Linked DNA regions of Pelodiscus sinensis. The protein of the gene in region 2 interacts with the protein of the main gene of each other region in a biochemical or structural test. Links are inferred from orthologs where the notes say so. Each region holds a gene or a part of one and is shown on either strand. Other genes may lie near its edges.

Evidence for each region.
Region 1: the proteins of RPS6KA3 (region 2) and PEA15 form a complex in vitro, tested with the Homo sapiens proteins (2 studies listed by BioGRID). The link is inferred for Pelodiscus sinensis from reciprocal best matches to the Homo sapiens genes RPS6KA3 and PEA15.

Annotation. Positions count from the first base shown.
Region 1 is NC_134734.1:14,495,733-14,502,951, reverse strand, and holds the start of PEA15 (astrocytic phosphoprotein PEA-15), read right to left. Parts: upstream 3,064-7,219; 5' UTR 2,863-3,063; intron 1-2,862. UniProt on the Homo sapiens protein: Blocks Ras-mediated inhibition of integrin activation and modulates the ERK MAP kinase cascade. Inhibits RPS6KA3 activities by retaining it in the cytoplasm. Inhibits both TNFRSF6- and TNFRSF1A-mediated CASP8 activity and apoptosis.
Region 2 is NC_134711.1:208,009,450-208,017,451, reverse strand, and holds the start of RPS6KA3 (ribosomal protein S6 kinase alpha-3), read right to left. Parts: upstream 3,055-8,002; 5' UTR 2,784-3,054; coding exon 2,712-2,783; intron 1-2,711. UniProt on the Homo sapiens protein: Serine/threonine-protein kinase that acts downstream of ERK (MAPK1/ERK2 and MAPK3/ERK1) signaling and mediates mitogenic and stress-induced activation of the transcription factors CREB1, ETV1/ER81 and NR4A1/NUR77, regulates translation through RPS6 and EIF4B phosphorylation, and mediates cellular proliferation, survival, and differentiation by modulating mTOR signaling and repressing pro-apoptotic function of BAD and DAPK1.

The DNA of each region.
Region 1 (7,219 bases), on a different chromosome or scaffold from region 2:
AAGCTGGTTCCAGGTGCCTGGCTGGGAGCCGAGGGCTTTGGAACATCCCACCCTGATAGTGGGCACTGAGCTCTGGGCGAGGCAGCCTGCACGTGCCTGTGGGTAGCCCGTGCAGAATGTGGTCAGCACCAAAATCAGCCGGCAGGGGCCTTGGATAATGGAGGGGTTGGGTCGCCTGGGCGCTCGAGCACATCCAGACCAGGAGCTGGAGCAGATCTAGCTGGAGTCTTGCTCTCCATACACGCACTTCCCCTGCTGTCCAAGTGTCGGCTTGGGGGGGGGGGGGGTGAGCACCAGGAGAGGGTGGGTGGGGTGTGGGGCCATCTCTAGAGCTAGAGGCATAGGGCCCCCAGTTGTCCTTTACAGGACAGAGGGGGTTTGTCAATTACCATTCCGGACAGAGGGGGCTGTGGGAGCCTTGGAGCAAATGAGGATCAGGCCCTAAATATTTCCCCCAAGCCACAGATCAGTCCCCCAGCACCAGAGACCTTTCCATTTCAGTGGGCTTGGCCGCTCACGTGCAGGAGACTCCAGCCCAGGAATGGCAGATTCGCAGCAACCAGAGGAGTCCCAGAGGGTCAAAAATAACAGTCCTCCAACACCTTCCACCCACAGGCAGAGACCCTCTAGAAATAGCTCCCTCCCCCAAGGCACAGCTCAGTGTCCTCAGCCCAATGTGATGGAAGGGTAAACTGAGGCACGGAGGACATGACATGCCCAAGGTCACACACCGAGTCAGCAGCAGAGGAGGGGACAGAACCCAAGTGTCCCGACTCCACCCTGTGCCCAAGCCTCTAGACCCCATGCTCCTCCAGGGCTGGAGATGGAACCGAGGTGACCTGACCCCCAGTTTTCCCAGATCTAACCCTGAACCCCAGCGGCCTCAGACTGGCCCCTAACCCGCTGTTGCTTCTAGCGACCAGAGATCAGACACAGCTGGGAGACCGGCCCAACCTACCCCACTCTAGTAAACAGCATTTAGAGGGAGACTGAACAGCCAGGAGCTTGGCTGGAGACGCACCCCCCTGTGCGGGGGAGCACAGTGCCCCAACACATCCTTTGCCCCCTCTCACCTTTCCCCAGCCGGCCGTGACCAGGCTCCGCCTTGCTCTGCCTGAGTCCCTTTCACCAGCACATCTCCCAGGGCTCTGCAAGGCATCAGCGCCCTCACCCCCATGTGCCCTGGAGAGTCCAGTCCAGAGCAGGGCCCCCTTGTGCCCCGACCCAGGGTCCCTGCCCCAGCCAGCTCCCCCGGGAAGCAGACCTGGGAGATAAAATGAGTCGGGCCGGGGGCAGAGGTGGGGGGCTACTGAATCCAAGGCGCCCAGCTCTTTTCCACACACCTTGGGGCTTTGGGGCTGTCTCCCTGGGCCAACTTGCCAGCTGCCCAGAGGTTTCCCTTGAATGGGGCCCCAGCAGCAGACCTGGGCTGTGAAACAGCCCAGCAGCAGGCAGCCAGCAGCCTCCAGGCCCAGCCACTGAATCATGCCCGGAGTCATGGAGTGGCCAGTTCCCCACCCCCTCTAGATTTCACCATTTCCCCTCTGGGCAGCCCTGCAACCCCCCATCCGGCCCCCACTAGCAAGGGCAGCCGGGGGAATGGAAGCTGGCCGCTGGGGGAGCCCGGGGTGCACGAGCAGCTGCCGGGGGATGGGGGCTCCCCATAGGAGAAGCCGCAGAAGGAGGCTGGTGACTCTCCCGGTTGGGGGCCGGGTTTGTACAGCACCGAGCACAAGGAAGCGGGACAGCAGCTGGCATCACCCTAGCCCGAGGCCAGGGGCTGGGGGGCTGCCCCAGCTAGGCACCAGGGAAGAATGCGGAGCCTGGTGCCCCAAGGGGGTAGCGGCAGGGCTGACTCCAGGGCAGGCGGCACGTTCCACCGGGAGCAGCACGTGTATGGGGGTCCCGCCCCGGGCTGAGCGGTTTGTGTGCGGGGTGTGTGTGCACGGGGGGGAGGTCCCGCCCGGGGTGTGTGTGCGGGGGGGGGGGTCCCGTCCAGAGCTGAGCGGTGTGTGTGCGGGGAGGGGTGTGTATGTGCGGGGGGGGGTCCCGTCCAGAGCTGAGCGGTGTGTGTGCGGGGAGGGGTGTGTGTGTGCGGGGGGGGGGGTGGTCCCGTCCAGAGCTGAGCGGTGTGTGCGCGGGGTGTGTGTGTATGTGCGGGGGGGGGGGGTCCCGTCCAGAGCTGAGCGGTGTGTGTGCGGGGAGGGGTGTGTGTGCAGGGGGGGGTCCCGTCTAGAGCTGAGCGGTGTGAGAGGGGTGTGTATGTGCGGGGGGGGGGGGTCCCGTCCAGAGCTGAGCGGTGTGTGTGCGGGGAGGGGTGTGTGTGCAGGGGGGGGTCCCGTCTAGAGCTGAGCGGTGTGCGCGGGGTGTGTGTGTGCGGGGGGGGGGGTCCCGTCCAGAGCTGAGCGGGGTGTGTGCGGGGTGTGTGTGTGCGGGGGGGGGGGGGTCCCGTCCAGAGCTGAGCGGGGTGTGTGCGGGGTGTGTGTGTGCGGGGGGGGGGTCCCGTCCAGAGCTGAGCGGGGTGTGTGCGGGGAGGGGTGTGTGTGTGCGGGGGGGGGGTCCCGTCCAGAGCTGAGCGGGGTGTGTGCGGGGAGCGGCAGCTGGAGCTGGCAGGGCGCTGCCTCAGCCGGGCGCGCCTCCCCGGCGCAGGGTGGGTCCCCGCCAGCCGCATGCGGCCGGACGCTCCGGGCTCTGAGTCCGCATGGAGCCGGCGGCTGCCCCGGGGCGGGCGCTGGGAGCCAGCGCCTGGGACCCGGTGACCGAGCGGGGACTCAAGCCCCGATCCCCCCCAGCCCGCCAAGGGCGCCCCGCGAGGACCATCCCCCGCGCCCCGCTCTCTCCTCCCCGGCAGCAGCAACTCACCGGCTCCGGCTGCGGACGGCTCGGCTGGGGCTGGAGCTCGGGGCTGGGGCGGTCCCGCCGCGCCTGGCGCGATCTGGACTCGCCTCCCGGAGGCAGCGAGCGCCCGCTGATGTCAGCGCCGGGGAGCGAGCGAGCGAGCGTGCGGGAGGCAGAGAAGGCGCCTTTGTTGCACCCCCCTCGCTCGCCGGGCTGGCACCGCCGCCGAGGCATTTAACCCTTCGCCTCCCGCGGCCCTGCCACGCGCCGCCCCTCCCCGCAACCCTCCAGCCCCGGCACCGAGCTCCGGGGACCAGCCCAGGGGCCTTTGGACATAGCCCAGTCCTGACCCCTTCCCGGGGCTTGGCCACCCCCACACGCCGGGACCCCCGCAGCCGGCTCCCGGCACAAAGTGAAACGGACCCGTCCCGGCCGGCTGCATTTTGCAGCTGGTTTCACCTCATTTCTGAGGGGCTGCGGTAAGCCGGGGGGAGACGATTCCGGATCCTCTCCTAGTGTAAACGGGAGCCGGCCCCTGATTCTCAGCCTGCACCTGGACTGGGGTTTAGCCGGTTCCCCTTCTTCCCAACAAAGCTGCACAGAGCAGAGGGCCACCAGGGCAGCTCCTGCCTCCCCTGCAGGGCCCAGGCCCAGGCCCAGGGACAGAACCTCTGACTCCAAGGGGGAGTCCAGTTCCCATCCTCAAATGAGATCCCCTGCCCTTGTCCCGGCAGAGCAGCTCCATTCCCACCAGCCCCATTCACCATCCTCCCTTCACACTGGAGACTTAGTTACCCTGGACTGCACTGACCGTTTGTTATTGTAGGGTCACCCTGCAATGAATGGCTGCACTGGCCGCTTGTTATTGTAGGGTCACCCTGCAGCTGCACTGGCTGCTTTGTTATTGTAGGGTCACCTTGCAATGAATGGCTGCACTAGCCGCTTGTTATTGTAGGGTCACCTTGCAATGAATGGTTGCACTGGCCGCTTGTTATTGTAGGGTCACCCTGCAGCTGCACTGGCCGCTTTGTTATTGTAGGGTCACCTTGCAATGAATGGCTGCACTGGCTGCTTTGTTATTGTAGGGTCACCCTGCAGCTGCACTGGCTGCTTTGTTATTGTAGGGTCACCTTGCAATGAATGGTTGCACTGGCCGTTTGTTATTGTAGGGTCACCTTGCAATGAATGGTTGCACTGGCCTCTTTGTTATTGTAGGGTCACCCAGCAATGCCAGGCTGCACTCGCTGGTTTGTTATTGCAGGGTCATTTATGTGTTTCTGCACTGCTGGCATCTGGGGTTCTGGGAAGTGAAAAAGAAGCATCTAAAGAACCACACAGACTTTGCAACCAGCTGCCAGGGGGTGCAGCCCCCAATCTGGCTCCTTGCCCCCTTTCCACACCCCTGAGCCTGGCTCCTGCAGAGCCCTAAGCCTGCTTCCCTCCAACCCCCACAGCCACTCCTGTGTTGCCCACAGGGACAGCCCATCTGGCCTTCCTCCCACCTCCGCTACCCTGCCCTGTCAGCGGGGGCCACCCAAACCCAGCATGATCAGAGCAGGGTAGGAGTAAGATCGAAAGGAGGAACTGGGCACTTTCACTTCCTCCATGGGGGGACGGGGGTGGGGGGGGGGGAGAGAGACTGTCAGAGAAATGGCAGCTGGGAGTAGATGAGCAAGCAGTTCCAGACCCTTGGGTTTGCCCATCTGGTTGCTGGTGGGGCCCCAGGCAAAGGTGTGACAATGGGGCCCTGGCTTCTAGCTGCACTTTAGGGCACAAGAGGAAAGAGCAGCCTGGCCGCACTCGCTTCTGCTCTGCAATGCAGGGATCTGCTGCCTGCTCCGGCCGAGGGAGGCCAGAATCGGTTCCTGCGTGGCTGCCAGCTCCAGTTCCTAGATGATGTGAACCGAGAGCTACAGCTGTTTGGAAGGCTGCCACGGCTGCCACTGGGAATGGTGTAGGAGGTGCTGGCTAGGCAGCATTCACTGCAGCACCAGGCCTGGCCTCGCCCAGCAGGGGGTGCACTGCAGGGAGCAGGACAGCAGCGTTGGCGGGACAGGAAGCTCCCAGCTGCACCAGTCCCAACTTCTCCCAGCAGGGGGTGCTCTGGGGAGGAGGCTAGGAATGCATCCGGGGGCACATGTGGGGAGATTGGGTAAAGGAACAGGGTGCAAGCAGCTGGAGCAAAGCCATGGAGGGGTTAGACTCAGCCAGGGACATTAATGAGACCCTGACCCAAACAGAGAGAGCATGTGGTTAGTGAGGGATGAGTCTCTCTCTCATATCTGCCCCACCCCCCGGCATTTGCCCCTGGGAGAAGGTGGGCATCTGTGTCTATGTAGGTTGGTGCCCCTGGGCAGACACCATGGCTGAGCTGGTCTTTCTGTGTGCTCCATGCAGGCCTGATGCTGGGTGTTGCTGGCTGCCTCTGGCCCCCTGCCATCCATGGGGTGTTTCACAAATACCCTAATCCCAGCTCCATGTGTTTTCATACCACTGCATAATGAGATCGCAGCAGGGCCCCCTCGGGCTGCAGCCATCAGGTCAGCCAGTGTCACCCATCCCTGCTGGGGGGCTCTGCTTCCAGCCCAGGGCCACAGAACATTTCACACTGCTAGAGCCTCGCGGGGAAGTGGGTAAAATTGGTCATTGCACCCAGTACTGAAGGTGCTTAACAGCCACACAACACCAGTGCATGGAACTCACTCACCCAGCACTGATATGCAGCCACCTCTGGGGTAGGGCATGGCAGCTGCCTAACAGCAACACAACACTACTGCATGGAGCTCACTCACCCAGCACTGATATGCGGCCACCCCTGGGGCAGGACATGGCAGCTGCCTAACAGCCACAAAACACCGCTGCATGGAGCTCACTCAGCCAGCTCTGATATGCAGCCACCTCTGGGGCATGGCATGGCAGCTGTCTAACAGCACAGAACAATATTACAGCATGGGACAAGAATCTTGTGTCCAGTGTGAACATCTGAGAGAATTTACTATGGTGGAATATAATTAACCAGTGGCCCTAGCTGAAATGTGGCCTAAAACCTCAATGCTTGTGGCACTGGGGTGGAGGGCTGGATTGTGGGGTTATGGGTCTAATCCAGGCAAACAGCAGGCCCAGCACCACAGAGGGATCAGCACTGGTGCAGGGGGGAGAGAGGTCCTCCGTCCCCCATGCCCTACTGCACAGTGCCCTCTAGTGTCACACTGGGGCATTGGGGTCAGCACTCACTGAAGGAGCATGTCTCTATGAGTCCCCTCCTCTGATTCCTTCAGCACAGCGCCCGCAGGGAAATGGCTCTGTCCCTTGGGTTAGAAATCCAGACTGTCGTGCCTACTGCCTTGTGCCAGCTCCTGGGCAGGGGATTTCTCCTCGTCCTCCCTGCCTGTGGCTCCAAGGACCCAACCCCGCAGGTCCCCTTGTCTCTGTGGCTGTTCTCAGGTGCCCAAGCTGCCACTGCCGTGTTGCCTGGGCAGGGCTGAGGGGGGTGCTGCTGCGCTCTGGACTGACACCCCGGGGAGGCAACATGGCCTGTTGGAATGGGCACAGGGCTGTGGGCAGCCCCATTGGCCTCCTGACTGACTGGACCCTGCTTCCCTGTCACCCCCTCGCTCTCCTGGCCCCTTCACCTCAGGCTTCGGGGCCTATAATCCGACAGCCCTGGGAAAGGACCTTGCCTGGGACTCCCCTTCACAGACACAGGCATTACAGACCAGCCGGATCTCGTCTGGCGTATCTAGCCGAGGCTGGGGAACCATCCCCCTCCCTCGATTCCAGCATCCCGCTCAAGTGGCTTGTGCCGGACCCAGAGCTGGGCTTTTGACCCAGGCCCCAGGGAACGCTCTCAGGGGTGGGAGCATCCCTCAAGGAGCTGCTCTGCCCTGGGAGCCGTCAGAGCTCAGCCCAACTCTCTGTGTGGAGGAGGGTCTCTGAAGGGGGCCGCCCAGCTCCAGGCTGCATTGTGGGACTCAGATCCAGGCCAGCTTGGCCCCAGGGTGCTGGGGCTTGTGGGAGCTACGCCAGGCCAGAGTGCTGCTGCAGCTACAACCCTACCGCATGGCCCTGTGCTCTGGTCCCCTCGTGCACTGCCCTTCCCTGGCCCAGCCAGCAACACCAAGATCCTGCATTGCGGGGTCTGGAGACCAGCTCTCAGCCCTTCAGAGCCACGGAGGAGGCTGGGCAAAGCCTCTGAGCAGATCCAGGGGCGGTTCTGCTGCTGAACGGATGGGCTGCGTGGGGAGCACAGCCCCAGTGCAGTGTCTGCTGTGCCATCCCATGTGCTACGGGACTGGATCCCAAATCCCAGGGCTCACAGTGGCTGGGGTCGGGCGCTACTTCCCGGGGCCTGGATCTCTGTGTGTCTGCCTGGCAGGACTGA
Region 2 (8,002 bases):
GACCCCGGGCTCTGCAGGGTGCTGTTGCTTTGAAACTCCATGGGGAGCACAGGTCCAGTGGGAGACTGCTCCACTGGCCAGGCGTTCCCTGCAGTGCTTTCGCCTTTGAAGTGTAGCAACAGCTGTTGCTATACAGCACCTCTGCCTTTGAAGTATCGACTAATCGAGTAAATTGCATTGACTATTAGATTAAATTCAATTAATTGAATTTAACATCCCTAATATACATTTAATATTCTAATCAAATATTCATAATTGTTCTTCAAACAGTAGAACCTCAGAGTTATAAACACCAGAATTACAAACTGACCCATCCACCACACACCTCCTTTTGGAACTGGAAGTATGCAATCAGCCAGAGGCAGAAACCAAAAGAAAAAAAAAATACAGTATTGTACTGTGTTAAATGTAAACTACTAAACAAAGGGAAAGTTTAGAAAAAGATTTGACAGGGCACAGAAACTGTCTCTACACTTGCTTCATTTAAATTAAGGTGGTTAAAAGAAGCACTTTTCCTTCTGTGTAGTAAAGTTTCAAATTGGAATTAAGTCAAAATTCAGTTGTGAACTTTTGAAAGAACCAGAACCTGCTATTCAGAACTATAAACAACCACCATCACCAAAATTTTTATAACTGAGAGGTTCCACTGTAGTAACTTAGAACACTAAATCTATTCCACAGCAAATGTGTACTAAAATACCACCACACACAGGCAATATGAATATTCACTAAAAACATCAATGATTATCTGTGTCCTGTCTAAGAAATAAACCTGAAATAATTTGGGATTACACTCATATGAAGCACAGTATTTGTTACGCTTGAGCCTTACACTATAAACCTTTCAGATATAAGCTATTATTATTTTTGTAATGCTTCTAGGTAACTTTTAAGTTTCATGTAATAAAAGTGCACGACAGCCTTGTTTACATGTGTAACTTTTCTTTATAAAGTGACTGAATACACTTTGAAATGTTTGTTTTAAAAGTCTTCATAAATTATTCAGTTTGTAGCCTCCAAAACCAGAATTTTGAAAGATGAGAAATCAAGCAAATAATGGAAACGTAACATATTTAGTAACACACATCCATTAATGCAACACCTTCTAAATTTAGCAGTGTGGCTTCCTTATATTCAGAGCAGTTAGCTGATATGTTCCCTAATTATAAATATATATAACAGAGTGTCAATTAAAGTGACAGTTTACATGATAAAATTCAGTCATGCTGGATAAGTCTCAGGAAGGAAAAAAATATTTGTCCTCTTAGAACAAGTGTAAAATTCCTTAGTAATTATTCTCCTTTCCTAAATTATTTCACCTAGAACTCCCACTTGGAAGGTTAATGAGAAAACTACTGTAAGGAGGATAGGTATTTTTAAATTATTGTGGTATCAAAACCACTTAATTGGAGGGCAAACTAATCTGCAGTCTGTCAGGAAGCAATGGGACAAGTTTCTCAGCATTATTACAAATCTTTTGAGCCTTTATCATCTGATTTCCAAACCACATTAGCACACAATTCTTTATTTAAGAAAAAGTGGAAGTGACCGAAGCTCTAAATTATTACCCCACTTGGGCTGGATCTGAATTTCTTCACCAGCACGTGGAACAACTGACTAGTAACTAAAAATGCATCCGGAACTGTGACTTTGATGTCATAACTCATTAACGTCCCACTGCCCCTCACTGTGAACAGCAGGAAACCACACTGCACAGCATCACATAGATGTTTTCCATAACTGGCCAAACAGAAAATGTTACCAACGTGTGGTATCCCAAATGCTTGCAAAACAGCAACAGCAGACACAATCCAGGTCTGTCTAAATAAAGGCATTTCAGGATGGGAGAAGTGGGTGAGCTTTTCCAACAGCACAGAAAGGAAAAGGAGAGACCGTTAAGCAAGGTGAAGCCAGGCTTCTTATATGCTTGCCTGGCCTGCCAAAGGGGCAGGTGGCTATGCAGAGTTGCCCTACTAGACGCTAGTCTTCCTAAACCCCGTATCCGCTAGCTGGGAAATGCTGTGGAGGAGGCTGGGCCACTCCGGGAGGAGGTAGCTCGCGGTGACAGTAACCAGATACCGGAACGGAACGAAACCAGCCAAGTCCTGCAGCGACGCAGAAGCAGGTTATTCTGCTCCCAGCGGAGGAAGGGTGCAGGCTAAGCCTCCCCACCTCCTCCGGAAGTGGTGGGGTCCCGGCCGGTTCCCCGGTGCGTGTGGGTCGGTCACTCCGGACAAGGAAGCGGCACCCAGCCAGGACTCGCTCGGGCCAAGGAGGGAGCCAGACGCCAGGACTGAGCTCCGAGCAGCAGCAGCAGCTGCTGGGAGAGGGGAAAAGTCCTGTGCGGCTCCCTCCGGCCTTCCCCTGACCTATGAGCTCCGGCCAGCTCCGCGGCGCCCCCGCGGCCGAGCGACCCGCACACGCGGCCAAGGAAAGTTTCCCACAAACGGCGGGGGGGGGGGGGGGGGGGAGTCGCGACACCTCGCTCAGCCCAGCCCCGGGACAGGCGCGCTCCCCATCATCGCCCCGCCACGCGGGACAGCGCGTCCCGGCCCCGGGGGGCCGTAGCCCAGCAGAGCGGCGGGTGTTTCACAGCCCCTGCCCCGCCGGGCGCTCGCTCAAGGGCAACGCGCCCGGGGCCACGGAGCTAGGGCCCCCATTGCCAGGGGGGCCGGCGTGTCTCTGCGCCGCTCCCCACCCCGGCCCCGTACCTCCGTGCTGCTCTCGGCCGCGCTCTCCACAGCCATCTTCTGCCAGGGGTCCGCCAGCTGCGCCAGCGGCATCGTCCCCGCTCGACTCCGCCGCCGCCTTCGCGCGCCGCCTTCAAGCGCCCCCGCGGGGCCGGGGCAGGATCGGGGCAGCCCCCGGCTCCGACAGGGCGAGGGACCCTGGTGCGGGCGCGGCGCGGGGCCCTACCCGGCGGCTACTCTGGTGCTGCTGCCGCTTCCTCCCCTCCTCCCGCCGGGCGGAGCGAGCTACCCTGCCTCAGCGCCGCTCGCTCCCCGCTTCCGCTCGCAACATGGCGCCGCGGCCATACCTGCCCGTCAAACCGAGCCCGCCTACGTCAGCAGCTGGGGGCGGGGCCGGCGCAGCCAATCCCCGGCGCTCGCAGGTAGCTGGGGGCAAGGGGGCTGCCGGGGCCGCCCGCAGGAGCCGGGGAGGCTCGAGACAGTTGCATTCGCGCTGCACTAGGAGCCCCCCCCCCCCCAACTGCGGCGTCTCCTTCCGCCACTCCCAGTGTGTGGCTCTAGGAAAGCCAGACCCCGACCACGCGCTCGGCCCCCCTGCCCCCTTTCGCTGTGACACAGGCCCCCTTTTTGTCCCAGCTGATGGGGCCATTTCACAGCTGGGAAGAGGGAGTGTAAAATGCTTCCATTCCTCTTTGTTAGCATTTTACTCTTCTAGGGCAGTTTACATTTTGAACAAATCCAAATGACTACAGCTGCGCAGTGTTCCCGCCTACATTTCCCACCCTGGAGCAGAATAAATTTTGTTCCGTGCACTAACATGAAGATGATCACACATCAAAACCACTGCGGTGCACCTAACTATTACTACTGCGGGGTGAAGGTCTATGGTGCCAGGGGGTGCACACTCGTGGATGGGGTATGGATGAGTGATTTAAGGCTGGAACAGAGAGCTGAAGCCGGGAGGTAACTCGTTCAGGTTGGCCCTACCCTGGCCAAGGTAGGCTGGAGGCCAGGCAAGGTAGGGGGAGGTTACTTGAGTGCCTACTAGGCAGCTGCGTGGACATAGCAGTATTCTCTTTAACCTGTGCTTGTGTGGCAACTCAGGAGGGATTCAACTGCTGCCTAGAAGAGTACCCACAGGTAGAAACTAAAAACCTACCTGTAGCACACATTTATTCTGCACACAAACAGGGGGAAAAAAATCTACATATGGGAACTTAGCACATGGTGTAAGGCAGTGAATAATCAGGTTATTTTTTGGTTAATGAATCAGAATTTGACTCAAACCTCCCCCCAATCAAACCCCTACTAGAGACTGAATAAAGCCCTAGATTTACATTATGAAGCAATTTACTCTGGACAGCTATTTCTGTCAAACTCAGGATAAGGTAATGGAAAAAAGAGAAATAATTCAGTAGCTCTTGACAGCCATTAAGCTAAGGTCTGTAATCAGGAATGTTTCCTAGTAAACTGACCAGAACCAGATCACTTTACAGTCTAAAGCTTTTGCAGGCTGGCCGTTGGGATGCTGTGAATAAGTAGAGATTTCACATATACTGTCTTTAAATGTCTGAAATTCACATCTGAACACCTCCCCATCTCCAAGGCACAAAACCCATAAGCTGCAAAGGAAAAATGCTCCTTACCTCAGTACCTTAGAATATAGCCCTAACAGGTATACATTCTCTCACATCAGAGTAATTCATTTTTTGTTATGTTAACAATTTTATTAATACTGGTGTAAATGCCAGCTAATCCAGATACCCATGTTGAGAATTCCCATTCTATGGGAGGGTGGAATTGGGCCAGATAGGGTTGCCATCTTTAACTTGGCAAAACCGTATCTTAACTAAAATTCACTGGAACCTCAAATAAACCCTCTTTTTGGATAAGATGAATGGAGACTTTCCTAGCTACATATGAATTGTACCATCTCTTCCTTTTCCCATATACCTGGGCATTTCCACCCTTCCAGAGGACTCTCCTCACAGTTATAGTCTAAACTGAACTTAGCCCACAATGATTTTGTTCAAGATTTGTGATGTAGAGGAAGAAATAGTAGTATTTCCATCTAGTTGTGTCCTGGAAAAGTGGATGATCATCTTGTTCACCTCTATTACCTGTGAATCCAGAGAGAAAAGGCAAGAATAAATTTAATGTACAAGACAAACAGTTGAAAACTACTCATTACCACTTGACTGTCCTCTCATAACAAATCTAATACATGTACTGTACTTTAAACTCATCACCTTACAGGATGTCCCCTGTTTCCTAATCCACAATAGCATTCATCGACACACCTCTCTCCCAACCTACTCCTTACAACAACAAAAATCAGTACCAATAATTTACACTGAAGTGGTTATCAACAATCACAAGTGCTCTATATAAAGTGTTATGCGGCACTGATTCAGCAATATTCTGGAAGGTTTGATGGCACATTGGACCTCCCTGATTCAGCATCTTTGGGGCCTGACCAGTCCGAACGAAGAAATTTGCTAGACAAAGGGAGGTCAGGAGCAATGTTCCCTTTAATCTCCATCCATGTCTGGAATAAATTTGTGTGCACTGAGGAAGAGCATGGGTGCTGAAGGAATCTCCCTTCAGATTCATACAGGGACGTTGCTGGCTGTTCCCCCAGAGCAGGGGTCAGCAACCTTTTCAAACCAAAGAGCCAAACTACATAAAAATTCAGATCAAGCAGTCAACAAAGAGCTGTATAAGAACACCCATTTGCATCACTGAAAATATGCAACCTAATATTGATAACTGGCATGATTAATAATAGCATAAATGAAACATTGTACTCAGACTTCATTAAATGCTGCTTAAATGCCTCTATGGTCAGGGCAGCACAGTTCAATAGTCCTGCCATAACCTTAAGGTAGAAGTCTGTTGAAGAGTTAGTAGGCAAGAGAAAGGTTTGTATCCCCTGGCAGGGGGGGTCCAGACACTCCCATTCAACTGGACCCCAGCCCAGGGCCCTGTTAGTGGCTTGCTCACACAATTAAGTCAGCAGGGAAATCCTGACCACAACACACTGACTTCTCAACAGTGGCTCACTCACCCCAGTAGCCATTGCCACTCCTGGGCTGCTTTCTGCTTCACCAGGTCTCAGTTCCTTGGTGAGTCTTGGTTCCACCACATCCCCACATATTTCAGGTACCTCTCCCTTCCCCTGGACCTAACAAGGTCTCAAGAGGTGTCCTGACCTCTAGTTAGGCATTGGGGCTTGCAGGAAGCTGACTCAGCATAACCTCTCCCTCCAGCTATCAGCCTAGCTGAGCTGCTCTCTTTTATAGTAGTACAGCCTGAGCATGCCCAGTAAGTTAAAGGGGGTGCATCCTCCTCTGCCCTCAGGGCTGAGTTAACCCCCTCCTGACCAGTGCAGAGTGGGTACGCTCCGTCATACCCTCCAAAAAATACACAACCCTCACTGATGTGACCCCCAACTGAGACACCCCACTCCCCTGGCACTCCAGCCCCATGTGGGGGGAGAAGGAGCAGGGAGGACTGAGGTTCAAGGCCTCAGGCCAGATTAACTCTTCTGGGGTTCCGGGGCTTAGTGGATTTTGCGGGCCTCCCTAGGTTCTGGGTGGGGCCAAAAGTGAGGGGTCCAGTGTGTGGGACAGAAATGCCAGTGAATGGGGTTGGGATGGGATGCAGGATATGTGAGGGAGGTAGGGTGAAGGAGCAGGCTGGGAGTAGGGAGTCTGGCCAGAGGAGAGGGGGCAGAAGCAGACAGGGGGCAGGTTTCTGGCCAGAGGGTAGGTGGCAGGACTGGGCTGTGGGCAGGTGTCTGGCGGGGGTGGTGGTGGTGCAGGAGAAGGATGCAGGTGTGTGTCTGGCCATGGGGGAGGGGGAAGGAGCAGGCTGGTGGTGAATGTCTGGACAAGGGGGAGGGGACAGGAGAGATTGGGGGTAGGTGTATGGCCAGGGGAAAGGGGCAGGCATAGCCTGGGGTACAGGGTCGTGAGGTGGGTGGGGGTGCAGTCTGGGCGGTACTATTTTTTCCCAGGCTATGTCTACACTACAGGCTTCTTGCACAAGAAGCTTTTTGCGGAAGAGATCTTCCACAAAAACTTCTTGTGCAAAAGAGTATCCACACTGCAAAAGCACATTGAAAAAGCAATGCGCTTTTGCACAAGAGAGTCCAGACTGAATGGACGCTCTCTTGAAAGAAAGCTATTCACAGAATAGCCACCAGTGCAACTGTGCTTTTTTCAATAGGGTTTTTTTGTGCAAAAAGAGGCAGTTCCCCATCCACACGCACCTCCCCATAGAAAGAGGAATAACTCTTGTGCAAAAATCCCTCAATTCTGTCAATTTACTTGCACAAAAATGCACTTGAGGTGTGGATGTTCTGTGAGTTTTTGTGCAAAAACAGCCATTTTGGCGCAAAACTCTGCAGTTTAGACAGCCCTCGTGTCTGAAATAGGGTTTATTCAGTGTAACATACAAGTCACTGCCACGTGGCAGCCAGCTCCTGCTCCACATGGGAAAAGGAATAAGTTAGCGGCCCAAAGATTGAGTGTGGAATGGAGGCCGAACCTTGCCAGAAGTGCAAGGAGTCCGGCTGGCAGGTCTGGGCATGGATGGGAACCAGCCCACTCAGTCATGCTTCTTGTAGCTCTCCAGGCTGGCCAGGAACAAGGTGCTCAGGCTGATGAGAGATTCCAGCGGCCCCACGGGGCTCTCCAGCGGGTACAAGTGCACAGTACGCACAGGTGGCGTGAAGCGGGATCAGAGAAGTGTGCGGAGCAGCAAGGACATGGCCATGCAGCAGCGGGTCCTTCACAGGCAAGATGGCAGCCGGGTCTGCTTTTGTGCCCCATACTGCTCTCAGGCTTCCTGCCCCAGGCATGGCTTCCCACTGCTCCATTGGCTGGATTGTGGCCAATGGAGCAGAGGGAAAAGCCTACAGGAAGCGTGTCTGTTGCTGCTTTGTTCCTCCATCCGGGGGAGGGAAAGGGAGGAAAGGCAATGTGTGCATGTGCGAAGCCGGCCGTTTATGCCTTCGACTTCTTCCCCAATTGGACAGCGAGACTTGGGCCTTTCTCCGCCCTCCCCTAACTTCTCTGCCGGAAGCCAGCACTGGCTCCAATCTTGCAAGGGGCGCAAGGCTTAAGCACAACGTGGGCTTCCCATTGTGGGGAGGGGGATTGAGGAAGGGGCAGAGCAATAGTGAGCCATATATGGCTTGCAAGCCATAGGTTGCACAATTTGTTGCAGTACTCACTCTGGCTGGGGAGTGCAGGGGGCAAATGAACCTGGACCTGTCCCAGCCAGGAGACATGCACCCCTCTGCTGGC